Linked DNA regions of Rattus norvegicus. The protein of the gene in region 5 purifies or fractionates together with the protein of the main gene of each other region. This does not show direct contact. Links are inferred from orthologs where the notes say so. Each region holds a gene or a part of one and is shown on either strand. Other genes may lie near its edges. The genes, in order: Lamp2, Ctsd, Lamp1, Acp2 and Tmem192.

What was found.
Region 1: the proteins of Tmem192 (region 5) and Lamp2 purify together in Homo sapiens (affinity purification with western blotting; 5 studies listed by BioGRID and IntAct, with this or other methods). This does not show direct contact. The link is inferred for Rattus norvegicus from reciprocal best matches to the Homo sapiens genes TMEM192 and LAMP2.
Region 2: the proteins of Tmem192 (region 5) and Ctsd purify together in Homo sapiens (affinity purification with western blotting; 3 studies listed by BioGRID, with this or other methods). This does not show direct contact. The link is inferred for Rattus norvegicus from reciprocal best matches to the Homo sapiens genes TMEM192 and CTSD.
Region 3: the proteins of Tmem192 (region 5) and Lamp1 purify together in Homo sapiens (affinity purification with mass spectrometry; 3 studies listed by BioGRID and IntAct, with this or other methods). This does not show direct contact. The link is inferred for Rattus norvegicus from reciprocal best matches to the Homo sapiens genes TMEM192 and LAMP1.
Region 4: the proteins of Tmem192 (region 5) and Acp2 purify together in Homo sapiens (affinity purification with mass spectrometry; 3 studies listed by BioGRID and IntAct, with this or other methods). This does not show direct contact. The link is inferred for Rattus norvegicus from reciprocal best matches to the Homo sapiens genes TMEM192 and ACP2.

Annotation. Positions count from the first base shown.
Region 1 is NC_086039.1:122,063,669-122,067,184, forward strand, and holds part of Lamp2 (lysosome-associated membrane glycoprotein 2 precursor), read right to left. Parts: intron 3,146-3,516; coding exon 2,987-3,145; intron 1,698-2,986; coding exon 1,498-1,697; intron 698-1,497; coding exon 575-697; intron 1-574. UniProt on the Homo sapiens protein: Lysosomal membrane glycoprotein which plays an important role in lysosome biogenesis, lysosomal pH regulation and autophagy.
Region 2 is NC_086019.1:206,958,806-206,962,321, forward strand, and holds part of Ctsd (cathepsin D precursor), read right to left. Parts: intron 3,308-3,516; coding exon 3,090-3,307; intron 1-3,089. UniProt on the Homo sapiens protein: Acid protease active in intracellular protein breakdown. Plays a role in APP processing following cleavage and activation by ADAM30 which leads to APP degradation.
Region 3 is NC_086034.1:83,072,259-83,076,254, forward strand, and holds the start of Lamp1 (lysosome-associated membrane glycoprotein 1 precursor), read right to left. Parts: upstream 2,806-3,996; 5' UTR 2,703-2,805; coding exon 2,657-2,702; intron 2,651-2,656; exon of another isoform or gene 58-2,650; intron 1-57. UniProt on the Homo sapiens protein: Lysosomal membrane glycoprotein which plays an important role in lysosome biogenesis, lysosomal pH regulation, autophagy and cholesterol homeostasis.
Region 4 is NC_086021.1:97,638,135-97,641,363, reverse strand, and holds the end of Acp2 (lysosomal acid phosphatase isoform 1 precursor), read right to left. Parts: intron 1,380-3,229; coding exon 1,246-1,379; coding exon of another isoform or gene 1,213-1,245; 3' UTR 513-1,212; downstream 1-512. Other genes in the region: Ddb2 (DNA damage-binding protein 2), read left to right, coding at 7-71.
Region 5 is NC_086034.1:29,524,677-29,528,724, forward strand, and holds the start of Tmem192 (transmembrane protein 192), read right to left. Parts: upstream 2,809-4,048; 5' UTR 2,748-2,808; coding exon 2,721-2,747; intron 1-2,720.

The DNA.
Region 1 (3,516 bases), on a different chromosome or scaffold from region 5:
AGCTAACAATGCTTATTTAATGCTAGCTATTACTAGTACAGACACTACTATAAAGAATGTTAATGGGGCTAAAGAGATGACTTAGCAATTGGGAGCACTGGTGGCTCTTCAAGGACCCAGGTTCAATTCCCCACACCCACATGGCAGCTCACAGCTCTCTGTGATTCCATGGCATGTGGCACCTTCACTCACAAATACATATAGGCAAAACACCAATGTACATAATAAATGTATCTTTATAAGAAGAATATAACTATAAAATATGTAAAATTTTGTGTTAGCATGAGAATTGTCTAATAAGAGAAAATAGTATAAAAACTATACTTAGTTTTCTTTTTATGTGAGTTCATTCGTGTTTCTACACTGAAGTACATATAATAGTACAATAGCCACTTTCTATAATTATTAATACAAGAGCCCAGCCCATAGATAGTCCAGCTGACTCAGAGATGAGCAGGGATAAGTAAACCGAATATCACCCCGCCCCCACCCTGGCATACACCTACCACTCTGGAGACTTGCAGGGGCACTTCTCAGAGAAAGAACTTAGCTTTAGCAAACAGTCAGTACTCACCACAGCAAAGATAAAGTCGAGATACTTAATTTGGCTGTTGTTCAGCCTAAGTTGAGCTGTTTGGGGCTGACAGCTGCCGGTGAAGTTGGTTATGGCAGGGTTGATGTTAAAAATGAAAGGCACCTTCAGGAGAATAAAGAAGGAAGGTGCAGATTAACTGTAAAAGTCAACACCAAAGCCCATTACACTGATAAAACCAAAGTACAGCACAACCTCTTTTAATGTAGACTGCTTGTTGTCTTTTAATGTAGAATGCTTGTTGTCTTACTTTCAAGAAAACTTGACACAAGCCTTCAAGCTATGACTCAGCCGACTTCAACAACAACAATAAGAAGAGGGAAGTTTCCTCAGTAATGAGCCAAAATGAAAACACATTTTTTTTTTTTTTTTTAGAGCACAAGAACCATCTGTCTGGCTTGTTTCAATCATAGAAAAATGGGATTTGTTCACTGGCGCGCCCTCTGCTGTCCGAATGAGGTATTGCAACTCGACAAGTACTTGGGCCTAACTCCTCTGTCTGACTCATCAAATAGCCTTGCACCAACCTACAGTGTGGTTCAAACAAGAGGCTGAATAGGCTACAGTTTGATTTTTCACTTTTGGCAGTGTTGGAATGGTACCCAAACCTTGTGCATGGGATGCAAGTGCTCTACCCCTGAACTTTACTCCATCTCTAACTTAACTACATATGCTGAGCCTCTACTGAAGGCTTATAAAATCTAAGCTTGTAAAGAAGTCTTTAAATAAATTGGCAGGTTCTCTGCTGGCCAAGATGCCTTGATGGTGATATTAACTATTCACGGATATCGTCTTTCCAAACTATTCAAAACTCAACACAAACTGTGCATTTAAACTTGAGTCAGTCTAGTTCTTAAGTGCATGGTACGCTATACATTACAAAAAAAGGTTTCACTAAACCCTACCTTCTCCTCGGTGATGTTCAGCTGCAGCCCCATGGTAGCCAGCAGACAGGTAGCATTGCCATTAGAAATGGTGTAGTTTCCAACCGTTGGAGTTGGAACGGGTATTGAAGTTGGAGTGAGTGTCGTAGTAGGCGATGGCACGGTGGTGTGAATGATGGGTGCTACAGTGGTAGCAGTTTTGTCCTCCTTACACACTTGTTCTAAAACAAAGGACAAAATAAGCTAGGGTGATCTTGCTTTACTGGGCCAGGGAAGAGAACAAACTACTTCTCCAAGTCAGGTTCTCACAGTCCAAGAGGGTTAATTAGGGCAAAAGAAGACCTTGGTGGTATATTTTTAAAGTGGATGAAGCAGAGGTTCCTAAAGTACTGTTTAATAGACAGATAATTTCTTATGAGTTATAACCAGAGTAAACAAACTCAAAACATATCAAAAGTTATAGCTACTCAAGTAAAGCCACATACTCTTCTTTCTTGCACTCGCAAAGGTCTTTATTTCAAAGAATTTCACCTGTCTCTGATCTGATGAGAAATTCAGAGCCAAGTCTAAAAACAACGCCCCCCTCCTCCAAGCTAAAAAGTCTTTTTCCTTCAAACACAACAACCACTGTGAAGAAGTGCTTACTAAAACTAGCTTGGAAATCGTTGAAGGGTTTAAATTCAAAGGAACCTTTTATTTCTATCACTCCTATAGTAGGTTATGGGAATTAAAATTCCTTCTTAGGAAGTATTAGTAGTTTTCTAGTAATGAATGTGAAATTTTACATTTTCATTAAATGGTTCACTGGGGGCCTCTAGTGCATACAATCATTCTCTTAATATCTCTCTCTCTCTCTCTCTCTCTCTCTCTCACACACACACACACACACACACACACACACACACACACACATACTGCATACTACAAACAAAACGTTTCCATGCATCATAAGCTTTCAACTGAAATTATCACTAAAAATGGCTATCACTTTAAGCCTATGCTTTGATCCTAGTTCACATCTTTGATCCCAGGATGCAGAGGCACAGGCAGGTGGATCTCTGACATGTGAGGCCAGCCTGATCTACAGAGCGAGTTCTGGATGGCCAAGACTACATAGAGAAACCCTGTCTTGCGAAAAAGAAAAAGAAAAAGAAAAAAGAAAGAAAGAAGAGAAAAAGAAAAATAACTTTAAAAATATTTAGTCTGCACCTTAAGAAATGTTCTCAGACGATGATCTCAATGAATGGTACCTGATGTAATCTGCCCTTAAAATAAGAGCCACATATATAAATTTATACTTTACGGTCTCATGGTTTTTGGTCAGGAACTGGGGAAAAATGTGTTTAATGCCAGCACTAGGGAAGCAGAAGCAGGCAGATCTCTGGGAGTTCGAGGCCAGCCTGGTCTACAGAGTTACAGGACAGCCTGGGTTGTTTCATGGAGAAATACTGTCAAAAAAAAAAGAAAGAAACAAACAAACAAACAAACAAACAAACAAAAACAAACTCACCATGTTTACTCACTGTACCATTTTGGACAAAAGCTTGCAGGTGAATGCCCCAATAGTGCTGAACAACAGGACTCAGGTTGAAAGTTAAAACACTACTGCACTTAAAGATGACACCCAATGGAAGCTGGGATCCCACAGGAATGATAACAGTAAGGATTCCTATGAAACAAGGTGAACAATGGCATTTCCAGGAAGACATGAGAAACTGCTAATATATTTACATTAACATAAATACAGCCTTTCTTTCCTTCTAGGCCTTGCCATGCCAAAAGTAATAAACTGTGGAGCATTGACAGGAATGACAAATTCACTGTGACTGGAACTGTAGGCATAGGGAAGACAAAACATGAGGGTTACAAAAAAAATCAGAAAGCAGTGACTGGACGGATAACTTCGTGGTATAGCACGCCGGCAGCTATACCAGAATAAGCACATTCAGTTCTTGGCACCCATTTAGTGGCCAAAAATCCCTGTAACTCCAGTCTCATGGGGATGTCACACCTCTCTGGCTTCTGTGGACAGTAGGCATA
Region 2 (3,516 bases), on a different chromosome or scaffold from region 5:
TGTCAGCACACCAGGAGAAACGAACTGATAAACCACAACCGAGACTATCGGATCCTAGCTTATGTGAACTCCAGCTTATCAGTCACACCAGATGTGACAACCCCTCACCTGGGATTACCAAGGGACAACCTAAGGCTGAAACGCAGCAAGCCTACTGATGAGCCTGATCCAGGAATTCTTTCCTTGGCAAAGAACCCTTGGTTCTGTCCCCAGGCTGTAGGCTCAAACAGATTCTCCTGCCTTTGAACTCAGTGCACTTCCAAAGTGACCCTGTCACCAAAACCTGCGACTGACATTTCTGTGTCTGTGACTGACTTCTTCTGTGGTTCCCTATTCTTCCTGTGTTTGTTTCAGCTTTCTACTTCTGATTTCTATACACCCTCCCTGGGCCCTGCAGCCCTTTCTTAGCTAGTCTGGAACCTGACCCTATATACAGGCAATATTGTGTGAAGGGTGGTAACATGTGACCTGCTGGTGTTTTTAATTAAGATCTGAATATAACTGGCTGGAGAGACGGCTCAGTGGCTAAGAGAGCTTGCTGCTCTTACAGAGGACTGAGTTCACTTCCCAGCTCCTGGGAATCCATCACCCTCTTCCTGGCCTCCACTGGCAACTGCACACACACGAATATACCCCCACACAGACACACATTAAAAAAAAAATCAGAATAAAGAAATCCATGATACCAACGGTTGGCTACCAAGTAAATTTGGGGTTACTTGGCAAATTGGAGTAAATGCATTTATTTAGCATGTGAATTTAGAGTTACTCAATAAATTCTAACACTGCTGAAAGACAGAAACATGCCCATTTATGTTTCTGACATGACACATTCATGTTGCCCTGCCTGGCCAGAGATAAGCCTAGGGCTCAGCCAGCCTAGGGCTCAGATCCTAAGCTAAGTTCCCGTTTCTGCATCTGCTGCCCTGCTGAGCAACCTTGATCCTACAGGTATAGGAAGACTCACAGAGAAGAGGAAAGTGGAGCCTGTCACCCCAGGGAGGGGCTTCCAGCCCAGTCCCACATAAGCTGCTGGGTACAGCTGGCCCTTCTCTGCAGGATGCTGGCTGCAGGTGTTCAGGGTCAGTCACTGGTAGCCAAGGCCAAGGCTCAGTCAGGCTGGAGCTGAAGAACAGGGATGCCTTCTCTGCCTGGCAAAATTCAAGGCGGGCTTCTAAGAGGAAGCCAGGGCCATGGTCCTGAGAGGCTGAGCAGGCTTCAGCCATGGATGTAGCACTTGCTATCACTCTTTCTCCTCCAAACCCTTCTCTCAACTCCCCCCACCTCTAGTCTCATGGGAATGCCCACCATACCCTCAAACAGAACACAGGGAGCGCAGTCTACAGCCACAACACTGAGTGCTCTCAGGCAGTCAGCAAGTAAGTATAAGCTTGTCCCCTCCAACCTCGGGGGTCCGGGGAACATGAATGTCACCCGGCTAGGCATCACTCTGGGGCACAATTACCCAAAGTTAAAGGGAAGTTGCCATCCTGCCAGGCCTTCCTAATCAGGTTCCACATCTTCCTCCTGGCCCGTGGATCCCCAAGCCTCACCCTGTTCTCCTACCCAAGTCTCCACCCTGGCCTGGCTTTGGCTTGTCATTGCCTCTGAAATCCTAGGTGGAAACACGATGGATACCGGCCCTGCCTCTCCTCTTCTCGCCGACGTTCCACCCACACTGCCTGATCACTCTGCTGGTTTTACACCCGCCTACTCAGTAGCCACACCTCTGGGTCACCAGCCTGAAACCCAGCTGGCACAGTAAGTACCCTGGGGCCCAGGCTGTAGCTACCACATCCATTCCTAGTTGCTGAGCCTGGGAGGGCTCCTCCTAAAAGACAGGCACCAGCAAGGGAAGATGGGTATATTGAGATCCTAGAACAGAGACTTAAGACTTATAGGCCAAGTGGTATTTGTGGGCCCCTAAGGCACCATGGGACTGAGATAAGACAGACGTCTCCAGGCTTCGACTTGGCCAACTTGTTTTTGTTTTCTGAGACAGTGTCTCTTGATGTAGTTCTCTGGCTGTCCTTGAACTCACAGAGATCCTCCTGCTTCTGCCTCTTGAGTGTTGGGATTAAAAGCATGTGCTGCTATGCCCAGCCTGTCTAACTTTGGGGCACCCACCTACTCTAGGAAGCAGAGCCCAGAAGTCAATGACCCTGTCCACTGATCCATGCCCCTGCCTCTAGGGAAGCCACTGTGCCCAGAGTGAACTGGGTAGTCACCATTTAAACAAGGGACAGAAATAGACAGGGAAAAGTAAAACTAGAAGATTCTGGGCTGGCACGGGGCCAGTGCCCATCAATAAGGGTTAGGGTTCAGACCTACAAATAGAGTATGGAGGTTACCCTTGCTAGACATGCAAGTAAGTCAGCCCAGAGAAGGAGGGTGTGGTCGGCAGCGCAACTTGGAGTAGGAAGGAGGCTACCTACTTACACCCCACCCACACCCAGGAGCTAAACCTAGCAAGAGAGGAGCCCCATATACCCAGCTGCCCATCTTGTGAAGTTCCTGAACAAGACTGTTGGACAGGCTTGCAGGAGGCAGGAGACTGGAAGGCTGGAAGCTCCCTGCAAGGGGGTGGGTGTGTACATGTCCGTGTGCGTGTGTGTAGGATCTCTGCTAACAGAAAGGTCCCCAATCTCTCAGGGAGAGACAACTCCCTCCCCCAAGGCCACTCTCAATGTATAACCCAGGGCTCTCAGACCTCCCCAGTGACTTCTGATTCTGCCCTAGGAAAGGTTCCCGGACCCTGTCCCCAGAGGAGTGTCACAGATCAAAGCTCATACCCATGTCTCTCCTAGCGACTAGCAGCCCAAGCAGAGACTACATCTGCTCTTACCAGTGCCTGGGTCCTGACCCAGCAGCTGAGACTCTGATCCAGGCAACCAGCATCTCCTGGCTAAAGTCCCTGGCACATGGCTTTCTCTCCCAAGCAGGTAACAGTAACTAACTCCTGCCTACCCGATCCCCTTAGGTCTGATGCCATGGCCAAGCCTTCAGCACAGGCTCTCAAGTCCCAGCTGTATCTTTCACCCTGGAGCTGAGCTCCAGGGAGGATGAGAGCCACGCCTCTCCTACTGCACCTGTTCAGGTAGAAGGAGAAGATGTTCTTTTCCACCAGCTTCTGTTTCATCAGGTTGTCGAAGACCGGGAGCACATTGTTAACAGAGATAAAAGGGTAGCCCATGCCCAAGATGCCATCAAACTTGGCTGCGATGAATACGACTCCAGGCTGCTTGGTGGCTTCCCCAAAGATCTGTTTCTCCACCTTGATACCTCCTAAGTCTGACTTACATGGAACCTGAAAGCCAGAGCAGATACGTCACAGCTGACATTCTCCCTCAGGACAGTCAAAAAAGCAGAACTCGTACAGAAGTGCTTGACATAGCCACACAGCTGAAGACAAGGACACAGGGTTCCTCTCTGAGGGACTTATGAGGACTTCGTGTTAACCAGGCACGAGAAGCAGGAGGGAGGTGCTTCTGCCTCAGCTCTCACCTTGCCTATGCC
Region 3 (3,996 bases), about 54 Mb from region 5:
CTGGCTGTCAGAACACCTCAGTTCTCACCATCCCACCAAAAACTCCTGCTACTTAACCACTTTTGTTGGGGGCTTTCTTCTTTGCCCAGCAAGCCCTGCTTAACAAGTACTTGTGACACTTTCACTTTGTGACAAGTACTGCTTAAAGTACTTTTCAGTTAAATTACTATGGCAACCTGAAAAGGCTGTCACCATGACTCCCTCCTGCTGAGGTAGAAAGGCCCAGAGATAGTAGCTTGCTTTAGGGCATCAGAAGTGAGTGGCCCAGTTTGTTTGCTTCAGTGTGTGGCCTATTGACCACACTGCTTCTCCAGCGGGGTGAAGGACTGGCTGGGTAAGCCAGCCTGGATCACTTACACAGTGAGACCCTGTCTCCAGCCAACCACACCCTGAATTCAGTTTCCTGTCTAGTGATAATCACCTCTGAACATTTAAACAAATGGCCAAAGTTCTACTCCACACACTGCACTAGCTACCACCTCTAGAGGGATGGCTCCCTTCCTGCTGGCTAACTTCCATGGGTTAGGGCAAGCTAACAGAGTGTTGTGGGAGAAAGTGTCAAGAGTTCCTTCCTCTAGATTCAGTTCAGGACTACTCTGCAAACCTGCCACTTCATGAAAGCACCACACAATCTCATGTGTCAGGACTGGGGCTCTTAACAGAGCAAAGGAGACAGGCTATTCCCAGTGCAGGGGCCACAGTCTGTGTGTCCAATTAAAAGGTCAGGTTGGGCTGCAGAGATGGCTCAGAGGTTAGGAACACTGACTGCTCTTCCAGAGGTCCTGAGTTCAATCCTCAACAACCACATGGTGGCTCACAACCATCTGTAATGGGATCCAATGTCCAGAAATGTGTCTTAAGACAGTCATGGTGTTCTCATATACATAAACAAGTAAATCTTAAAAAGGGGGAAGGGGCAGGTCAATATGACAATGTCTGAATTGTGTCTAAGAGAACATAAATTCAAAATTACAAGGCCACTGAACAGCTTGACTAAAAATCTAATGAAGAATTCAAGGTCCCACAATCCAGGATAACACTAATTAGACCTCTCATTCTTCTAGACTGCTGTACAGGGCTCATCCAGAAAGGGGAAGGTCGGGGGGTCAGCACCAACAACTCCACCCCACTAAGCAAGCACGCTTACTAGTTTCAGTTCACACAAGGCTGTTTTCTATTAAGCACTTAAGCAGCTCGGAGGAGCTTTACCTAGGAACAATTAACAATTCCAGAGTTATAGAACTGGTTAAAGATAAAATTATTTTTGAAGTCACACATCTCAGATCTCCGTCAAAGTTGTTAAAGAACCTTCGTGAAAGCTGGGACGTAATTTATGGCATACAGCACTCAATGAGGGCCACAGATCTATCCTCTCCACTTTGATTTTGTTTGAAACAGTGTCTCACTCTGTAGCCCAGGTTAGCCTCCAATTCACAGAAATTCTCCCACATCAGCCTGCTAAGTGCTTGGATTACAAGCATAAGCCACCGTCCACTTTCCTTTCCTTTTCTTTTCTTTTTTTTTTTTTTACAGAAGGATTTCATTACCTAACTCAGGCTGACCCAAACTTAAAATCTCCCTGCCCCAGCCCCCAAGGTCTAACAAGTGTGAGCCACCATTGATTAGTTTTACTCATTCATTCTTTGTTTATTTATTTTATTTTTGCAACAGGGTCTCCAGTCCCGGCTGTCTTAGAACTCATTATGTAGACCAGAATGGCATGTTGAAGAGATCCCCCTGCCTCTCTAGCGTTGGGTTAAAGGTGTAAACCACTATGCCAGCCAGAGGGGAGTTTTAAAATCATGAAGAGGCCCAACCCAATGTCCCACAGCTTTATCCCAACCAGCATTTAGGAAGCAGAGGCAGCGAGAACCTGTGAGTTTGGGGACAGTATGTTCTACATGGTTGACACCCCCCCACTTTTTTTAAAGCATAAACATTATAAGGGTTTAAATTTTTTGGCAGTGTTGGATAACTCCTGCTATTTACCAAGCCCTGTGAACTCTCCTAATTACGCCATTCTGACACGACAGAACTTGTTTCAGCAACTCGGGTACTCGCGTTTACAACTACTGAACCGTGAAGGGTCACAGGTCCCTCAGCAAGGCTTCAGGTTTGAAACCGCCGAGTAAGCGCACCTCTCTCTTTCTCACAGAGACTAAAGAGTTCGTTTCATACAAACAGCAAAATAAAGAGGGAAAACAAATTCCATAAAGTCAGTCACAGGATTTTGGGGTCCGATGGGTCCTGACAGGTGCTCGGGAAATCGTGAACCTGTGCGCTCAGGTGATCTGGCCAACCACCCCTCTCCTGTCCTGCAGATGCTGGCACTGCAGCCAAACTCTGCGTTGCTGGGATACAGCGGCGAGGAAGGGCACCCCAGGCAGGGTCGGGGCAGCACCCATTCCTCTCACAAGGTAGCTCAAAGCCAGCAGCACTGCCTAGCAGGAGGTCCATCCCAGCTCCTACAGAGCGTCCCAGGCTGGGCCCGCACGGGCACCGAGGCGGCGAGCGCCACTGCGGAGCGGGCTGGCGGGCTCGAGGCCCACTCGACGCCTGCGGCCCGGGCACCCCCGTTCCCGCCCGGCCTGGCGCCCCGTTCCCGTCGGTCCCGAGACGCCGACCCCGCCCGGCTCTCCCTCCCTCCTGGGCTCACCCAGCAGCAACAGGAGCAGCGGCCGCCGGGCGCCCGGGGCCGCCATGGCGCGACGCAGCCGAGGCCGAAGGACGGCGGTTGCGCGGGCGGCGAGGCCGGCGGGAGGGCGCGTCCACCGACTCGAGAGGCCCGGCAGCTGCGGCGCCGGCACCGAGAAGACCCTGCGGCCGGCAGCGCCTGTCACGTGAACAGTGCCGCGCCCGCCGGTCACGTGAGCCGAGGGTCTCGCGAGAGCCCGCCGGCCTGCCGCTTACTCTCTTCTCCTGGAGTCTCCACTTGGCTCGTGATGGTGTCACGTGCCGATCGGCGTCACGTGGTCTCCAGGCCACGTGATGCTTAGCCATCCGTCCTTTTCCCGAGTGTTCTGAAATGGAAAGTAGGTTGTGGCTTTGAGAAAGGGAAGAATCACTGCGGGAGAAAGTGAGGATGGAAACAGGAAGCTGTGAAAGCTGGACCGGGCCCCATAGGCCAGCTGCATGGCACTGTTCAGGTCCAAGCCCCTGAAGGCCTGCAGCCCAGACGTAGGCTGGCATCTATGTCTAGGTCAATACATGGTCAGTGTTTACATATAAGGACAGTGTGCATATGTTTCCAGGTGGGTATTCACATCTAGATCCGTGCCCTAGTCCCAGGCTAGCCTCTACTTTCAGGCTCGCAGGCGATCTCTAGGCCCAGACTAGTGTCTAGGGCCAACCCCAAGTATATCCATGTCCCAATCGGTGGTCCAGGCAGAGGACAGTCCTGTAGGATATGTAGACGGTGGGAATGTGGGAAAGACACTTTTTAAAAAAGATTTATGTATATGAGTACACTGTCGCTGTCTTCAGACACACCGGAAGAGGGCGCCAAATGGGATTTCGGGCTGGAGAGATGGCTCAGAGGTTAAGAGCACTGACTGCTCTTTCAGAGGTCCTGAGTTCAATTCCCAGCAACCACATAGTGGCTCACACCATCTGTAATGGGATCTGAGGCCCTCTTCCGTTGTGTCTGAAGACAGCTGTAGTGTACTCATACATAAAATAATTCTAGAGAAGTAAATAGTTTCTAAAAAGAAAGATAGGATTTCAGTATCTATCCCTAACTGGCCTCAAGTTCAGATCTGCCTGCTTCTCCTTCCTGAGTGCTTGGATTTCATGTGTGGGCGCAGTGTTTTTTGAGCATTCCTGATGGTCGAAGATCATGTTGATGGGCATGAGTATTTCCATGAAGAATTCAATACTAAAATATCTCCCTCTTTTGTGAATGTAACACTCAAAATGTTTGTTGTTTTGGGTCATGGTGTCATCCTAAGACCCAGGTTGAGTTGGAACTTGTATGGGCCAGACTCTGGGCGGTCATTC
Region 4 (3,229 bases), on a different chromosome or scaffold from region 5:
TTCTAGGTTATCATATTCTCATTTGGAGCCCAGAGGAAGATGGGTCATTGAAAGACCATGAAAGACTATGAAGATGGTGTGGGACAGCAACACCTGACCCTGCCTATGGGAGCAGGTTCTGTGAGAGAAGTGGTAGCTGTTTGTTCACAGGCCAGAAGTACCCAACTCTCAGTGTGGGAGTAGGGGTGCTGGTGGCATGGGATACTGTATGGAACTAGGATACTGACATGTTACTGCTCTAGATTTTGCTTCAGAAAATTAAAGAGTAAACCAGCTACCCTCAGGGTCCCTGCTGTGTCTAGCCTGGAGACCAAGTTCATGCTAGAGCCAAGGTACTTTCCTTTTTTCTGATGTATAGTAGCAGAATAACCAGGGAATTTTTAAATTTTTATGTTCATTTTGACATAACCAATAAAAGCATATCTTTTGTATTGAGACCTAGTACTGACCTGGTAAGAGTGCTTCTTGGATGTCAGAAATGGGGAAGGAAAAAAAAAGGCACAGAACCAGCACTCAGTCAAAACCTTCATTTCCTCGGAGTTACTTCAGCTCTGTTTCGGGCCACAGTCAAGGTGTACAGTTCACCAGCTGCATTTACTTCAAGTCCCTGAAGAGTCCAGCCCAGCTGAGGGAGAGTCACGTCATGATTCCATGTGTTTCACTCCTGTGTCCTCCCACTGTCATCCAGGTGCAGCACCAGTGTCCTTCAACCTGCCTGAGGTTGACACTGACGGCAGCCTCAGTCAGAGGGAAACTTTGCTGTTGGGTGATCCATATAAAATGAGCCATTTATATGAACTGCAAAAGTACCAAGGGACAATGTCCTCCAAGCCATTTGCCAAAGATATGGGCTAGAAGACAAAGAGCAAGGCTTGGGGGAAGAGCTAGACAGATCAAGTACCAGCTTCTTCAGGGTTTGGGGTTTTTTTTCTGTTGTTGTTTTGTTTTTTTAATCCCAGGTCTTGAGTAAAACCTGAATGCTTGTCTGTATCTCAAGTCCTTAGGGAGTATAGAAGAGGCAAATCCCATTTAGAGAAAGCCAGTGTCCAACACAGTACATGGTAAACATCAGGCATGAGGATGGTAAGTCACAGGTGACGTGCGACCAGCCCAGCCTCACTCATTCATTTGGGCGTAGGTAATCAGGAAGGCTAAACCTGTCCCTGGGCTGGGATCGGCAATAGTCAGGAGCAAGGACTCAGCCCACATCCCCTAGGAGGCAGAGGGAAGGGGACTGAGTGGTTGTCAAGCATGGTCTTCCCTGTCTGCAACATGGTGGTAGCCAGGAGGCTGGGCCTGCATCCGGAAGAGGACAGTGAGGAGCAACACTATTAGAAGGAAGAGGATGGAGCCACAGACAGCCAGTGCCACAATCACCTCTGGACAGGGGAGAGGAAAAGAAAGTAACATTAGTATTCATCCAACAAATAACAGAGCACCTACCCCAAGCCAGGTACTGTGTTGACAAAACAGGGAAATAGGGGGCTGGGGATTTAGCTCAGTGGTAGAGCGCTTACCTAGGAAGCGCAAGGCCCTGGGTTCGGTCCCCAGCTCCGAAAAAAAGAACCAAAAAAAAAAAAAAAACAAAAAAAAAACAGGGAAATAGAAAGGTGGTCGAGGCAGTCTGCTCTTAGAACGAGCAAGCATTTCACGGGAATGACACATCAGTGATGCTCTATGGACAAGATACATTAGAAATCACTGAGGAAATAGGACCAGACCTGGGGGTCAGGAAGTAAAACAGATGAGAGTAGAGTGTCATGGAGTGGGGGTAGGAGGACACATCTGATAGAACAGGCTTGGTGTGCTGGATTCAGCAAGAGTATCACAGAGTAAGCAAGGGGCACTAGGAACCAGAAGACATCCAAGTCAAGCAGAGGCAGGGCAGTCACGATAGAGAACCTGGGTCTTTGTGTGTGATTAATATATATGCACATTTAAAAAAAACATGGTCTCATATAGCCCAGGCTGTCTCAAAATTGACTATATAGTAGAGGATGACCTTGACCTATCCTCCTTCCCCCTTCTGAGTGCTGGAATTAGAGGTGTACACTACCACACCCAGTTCATGCAGTGCCAGGAGTTAAACTAAGCGGTTTTTCCCATAGTTTGGTTGGTAGAGTGAGTACCCTATCAACTGGGTTATACACCTAGCCTCAAGTTATATTTCTAAAGAAATTAACTTTGCTGTCTGGAGACTGGTAGGGACAAGAATGGAACCAGAATGAACGTTAGGCTTGTGAGCGGCTCAGGCAAGAACTGCTAATGACTGGAGAGGCGAGAGCTCAGCATCTGAGAAGCATAGAATCTGCCGGTGGACTGGGTGTGGGCTATGAGGAAGAGAATGCCTAATGGTACACTGTGTGACCGTGAGACTAATGCAGCATCTATTAAGTTGACAGCTGTGGGCTGGAGAGATGGCTCAGCGGTTAAGAGCACTGGCTGCTCTTCCAGAGGTCCTGAGTTCAATCCCCAGCAACCACATAGAGGCTCACAACCATCTGTAATGGGATCTGATGCCCTCTTCTGGGGTGTCTGAGGACAGCAACAGTGCACTCATAGGTGAACTAAATCTTTAAATTGACAGCTGTAAAATGAACAAGTAGATCTGAGAAGAGATGCTGGTTCAGACACAATGCCTCATGTGACATCCATGTAGAGAGGTTTCAAGTCAGTAGCTGGGGGAAAGCCTAGCTCAGAAGTTATAAATCGGGGTTGGGGATTTAGCTCAGTGGTAGAGCGCTTGCCTAGGAAGCACAAGGCCCTGGGTTCGGTCCCCAGCTCCGAAAATAAAGAACCAAAAAAAAAAAAAAAAAGAAGTTATAAATCAAAGTCATATTACAAAAGTGGAACTTAACTTACCATGAAGATGAGGTAGGAAAGCCATGAGGTTGATGAGATCCCTTGGGAGTCAGGACAGATAGGAAAGGGGATAGGGATAAGCCTCAGGCCATTCATTATTTAGAGAAGAGGGAAAACGGTAAGGAATTTGTAGTAAGTAAAAAACTGAAGTCATGAAAACGGTTGTTACTGTTGCAGTGCGGTGGTCGGGGAGGGAATCTAGGGCTTCACACATGCTAGCCATGGATTCTACCACTGGGCTATGTCCACAACACTAAAAAAAATGTGTTTAAGGAAGAAATGGCAACTGGGCTGCTGAGGTGAGAGAAGCTGACTAAGAATTGATGATCTTGATAACAGCTTCATTGCAGCAAAAGGTGATACAAAA
Region 5 (4,048 bases):
AAAGTGTGAGCCACCACTGCCTGGCTTGAATCATTTTCAATCAACTTATCGATCAACTTTTCTGTCTTCTTACAAATCTCTCCCCACCACAAACCTAGGACCACATGAGTGATACGCAAATGCTCTAACACTGAGCTACACCCCCAGAACCCCAAATTACTCCTTCATTTCCTTTATTTTGGCCGACAGCTCCCTAAGACCAAGGGTGACCTTAAGTTTAAGATTCCTTCCCCTTACTTCCTCAGTGCTGGGATTACAAATGTGTGCTACCATGCCTGGTTTCTGTGGTGCTAAGGACTGAGCTCAGGGATGTGTGCATGCTAAGCAAGCAAGAACTCTACCATGCTCGCCCAACCCATTTCCATGACTTATGACTGAGTTACTACCAAAGAATTCAGCTATTATTTTGGTCCCTACACTACCTCTTCATTTTCTTCCCCCAGTAACTACTTCCTTTGGGGACCTATGTCTATAGTGTATTAAGTCTTACTAGGACCCAGGTATAGTGGCTTCAGGAGGATTACCGTAAGCCAGAGGCTAGCCTGAGTCACCTAGTGTGAGCCTGTAAAAAACCAAAATTCATGTGGGATATCTTTAAATATTTCCCCTCTGCCTCTCTTGGTCTGAGGGTTGTCATACAACAAAAGATGGTTTGTAGACAGATCTCGGGTAAGGTCACAGCACCATATTCATGTCAGAGTACATACTGTGAAGGTGTGTCTCTGTTTTCAATTGTTAATTCTGTACCAGCAGAGAGCTAAATGCTAGGATTCTGGTCTTCCCATTTCTATGGCCCATTACTGGGTTTCTATTTTTGTAAATATTTGTTCTTCCTGCTCTGATCTAGAATTGTCTCTAGTTGGCTGTCATAAAGAGCTGACAGCCAGTAGTTAGGCAGGGGGTGGAGGGTGACTTTTCCAGGGGAGAAAGGGATTCTGGGAGAAGAAATCAGAGGTGAGGGATTCAGACAGCAGACAAGGGAATAAACAGAGGCGCCTGAGCTGAGCAGAGGTAGAGCTGGCCACAGCAGGACGTAGTGCCAGGATTAGTCAGGTTAGAGTAGCTAGAAGACAGCCCTCGATGAAAAGCCTAAGCTTTAAAATATTAAAAACTCAGTGTCATTATATACGAGCTAGGCCTGCTATACACTCACCCCAGTGAGGACTCTAAAATGCCTCCTATTACTTAAGACCCTTTGAGCTGCCTTTGTTTGGGTCCTTCAGAGGCCTGGGTGTTCATTTATTCAAAGCTGCAACAAGTCCTTGTCTTTATAAACGAGCCATTCATTCACTGACTCGCTTAAGCACCTGGGCTTGCAACATAGCCCATGTACAGCTCACTAAATGTGCACTTTGTTATCTACAAAATACCAAAGGCAGGCAACCTCCCTAGGTCCATAGGTTCAGCCACTTCATTGTTGGTGAAATACCCATCCCCGATTGTTTGCCGAAAGAAATATCCAGGACTGTACTTCTGAAAGATCCAAGAACTCCAGGGCAGGTTAGCACCGAGAAACACTGCTCGAGTTTTTTCTAAACCACTCATTTTCCTCTTATTTATTCCTTCCAGAAATTGTCAGTCCATGAAATCTCACTCGTAAAATTTCAAAAGCAATGCGCTATGCTTTAGATTAGTTCCATTGTTAGAAACATATTTCATGGAGAAAATTCAACTAGCTAGGTGGCAAGGTACTCCCACCATTGAGGCATTAAAATGGGCTGTCAGGGAACAGTTAGGCAAACTTAAGGCCAGGTTAGGCTATATAATGAGTACCAGGCCAGCTAGGGCTACCTAGCACATCTATAATAAGTAAATAAATGATTGCAGGACCCAAACACACAAGAATCTAAGCTCTTACAGTTCTGGAACTTTTTTTTTTTTAATGTAAGACCATGCTAATGTTTTTATTAGTTATTAGCTCAGGTCATTGTGCTAACATAATGTCAGCCTTGCATTTCTCAAGGGCAGGGCTTTTATTATGCCAATAGACAAAATAGTTTGTTCTGGAAACAAATGCAAATTTCCTCTCAAAGTGTCACCCCCCCTCTCACCTGATTTCAAATTAATCAGTGTCTTAATGAGTTCATAAACTCAAGATTTTTCCAATTGTATTATCATTCTATACTGGCTACACCGCGAAGTGGGCCACCTGGAACTTTTTTTTTTAAAGCAAGCAGGCATGCATCTAAGATTCAAACATCTTTCCGTTCCTATCATGCCTACATTCAAAACACATGATACACTTATGCTCCAATCTGCGTTTCCGGGAGATGAGAGCTACAGGTCCGCCCGAGGGAGGCTATTAGCCCAAGCACCAGTGTCACACCAGGAACCCAGTGCTCTCCAGTCGCAGCAGGAGGGCCCACATAAGCCGGGTCACCCCGGGCGTAAAAGTCCGCCTGTCAGTCTTTCCCAGGAAGGACCGATCAGGGTAGTGAGCATCACGTGAAGCTCTCATTTCCGGAACCAAAGACGCGCACTGCACGTGAGCCGCCGACTGAAGGGTCCCCCGCGCCAACCCTGCCGTGTCCCTCCGATTACACAGGAAGACGCTCCCGGAATCCGCGGTCCCCGCCCGTCGCGTCACCCCGCACCCCGCACCCCGCGTCCCCGATGGTGGAGCCGCTGCGACTCTGGGTAGCTCCCAGCCCGCTGTCTCCGCCCCCTGAGCTCAGCACAGGAAGCGGGATGGCGGCGACGGGGCTCGGCGCCTCACTCACGTCCTCCAGCCTACCGCCCGCCGCCATGACCCGCCGTCGCGGGCCGATGCCCCGCCAGCCTGACCTCTCCACCAGCGCCCCGGCGCCGAGGGCCCGGGACAGTCGCACCTACTTGGACCTGCGCGCCCCGCCCCGGACACACCCACTCTGCGCCAGCCCCGCCCCTAAGGCCACGCCCCTCGACTTAGATCAGCCGATCAGAAGCCAGGAGGAGTGTGGCCCTCCCTTCAGACTCCCGCTTTGGGTGTCGGTCTAGCCCAGGCGGTTGTTTCATCCGTTTATCAGAGATTTGGCAATTAAAAAAATGAATTTCTAGAGCAACCATTTAAACCATGTTTCGTCAACTACTCTTTAAACATTAACTTATTTCTGTTGCGTAGTTTTTGTTTGCAGCGATAGCTCTGTGTTCGGAAAAAGACGCAGTAAAAATTGTAATTCCACCTGTAGAGGGACTGACCTAGAATAGATTCTAATTTGTATAACAAATTTACAGTTGTCTCCACAGGAAATTCCTGTAGCTTTTGTTGTTCTTGTTGTTTTTGTTGTTGTTGTTGTTTTTTTAGGTATTCTGTTTCTGTTTTTTCTTTCCCCATCTCTTTTTCTGTCCTTTGATTATTTTTGGTTTCAGTTTTGCTTTTTGAGACAGGGTTTCTCTACATAGCTCTGCTGTTCTGAAACTCACTATGTAGACCAAGATGGCCTTGAACCCTCAGAGATTCACCTGTCTTTGTCTCCTCTAGTGGAGTGCTCAAATTAAAGGCTTGTGTCACCACTATGTGAATCCCGGGCTTGGTAGCAAAAGCCATTGGTTAGTCCTCATTTTTTTTTTTTAAATTAAAACAAGGTCTCAAGTAGCTTACGCTGACCTAGAAATTGATGTGCGCTGAAACTGACTTTCAGTTCCTGATCCCCTTGCCTTTGCACAGTGAAATCTGGCATTGTTAGTACACACCACCCACCTGACAAGTTGTTTTGTACATACAAAGTATTTTAAAATTGTTTTTATTTTATGTGTTTCAGTGTTTTATTTGCATGGGGGGCTGTGCACTGTGTGCATGCCTGTTGCCCAGGGAGGCCATAGGAGCTATTGGATCCTCTGACACTAGAGTTTGACAGTTGTTTTTGGGAATCAAACCCAGGTCCTTTGGAAGAATGGTTAGTGTATCTAAGTAGCACTGAGGCATCTCTGCAGCCCAAGTTTTAACACACACACACACACACACACACACACACACACACACACACACTGAATCGTACTGGGGAACTGGGTGTGGTAGCACACACCTGTAGTCTCAGGACTTAGAAGAGGCAGAAGGATCATGAGTTCA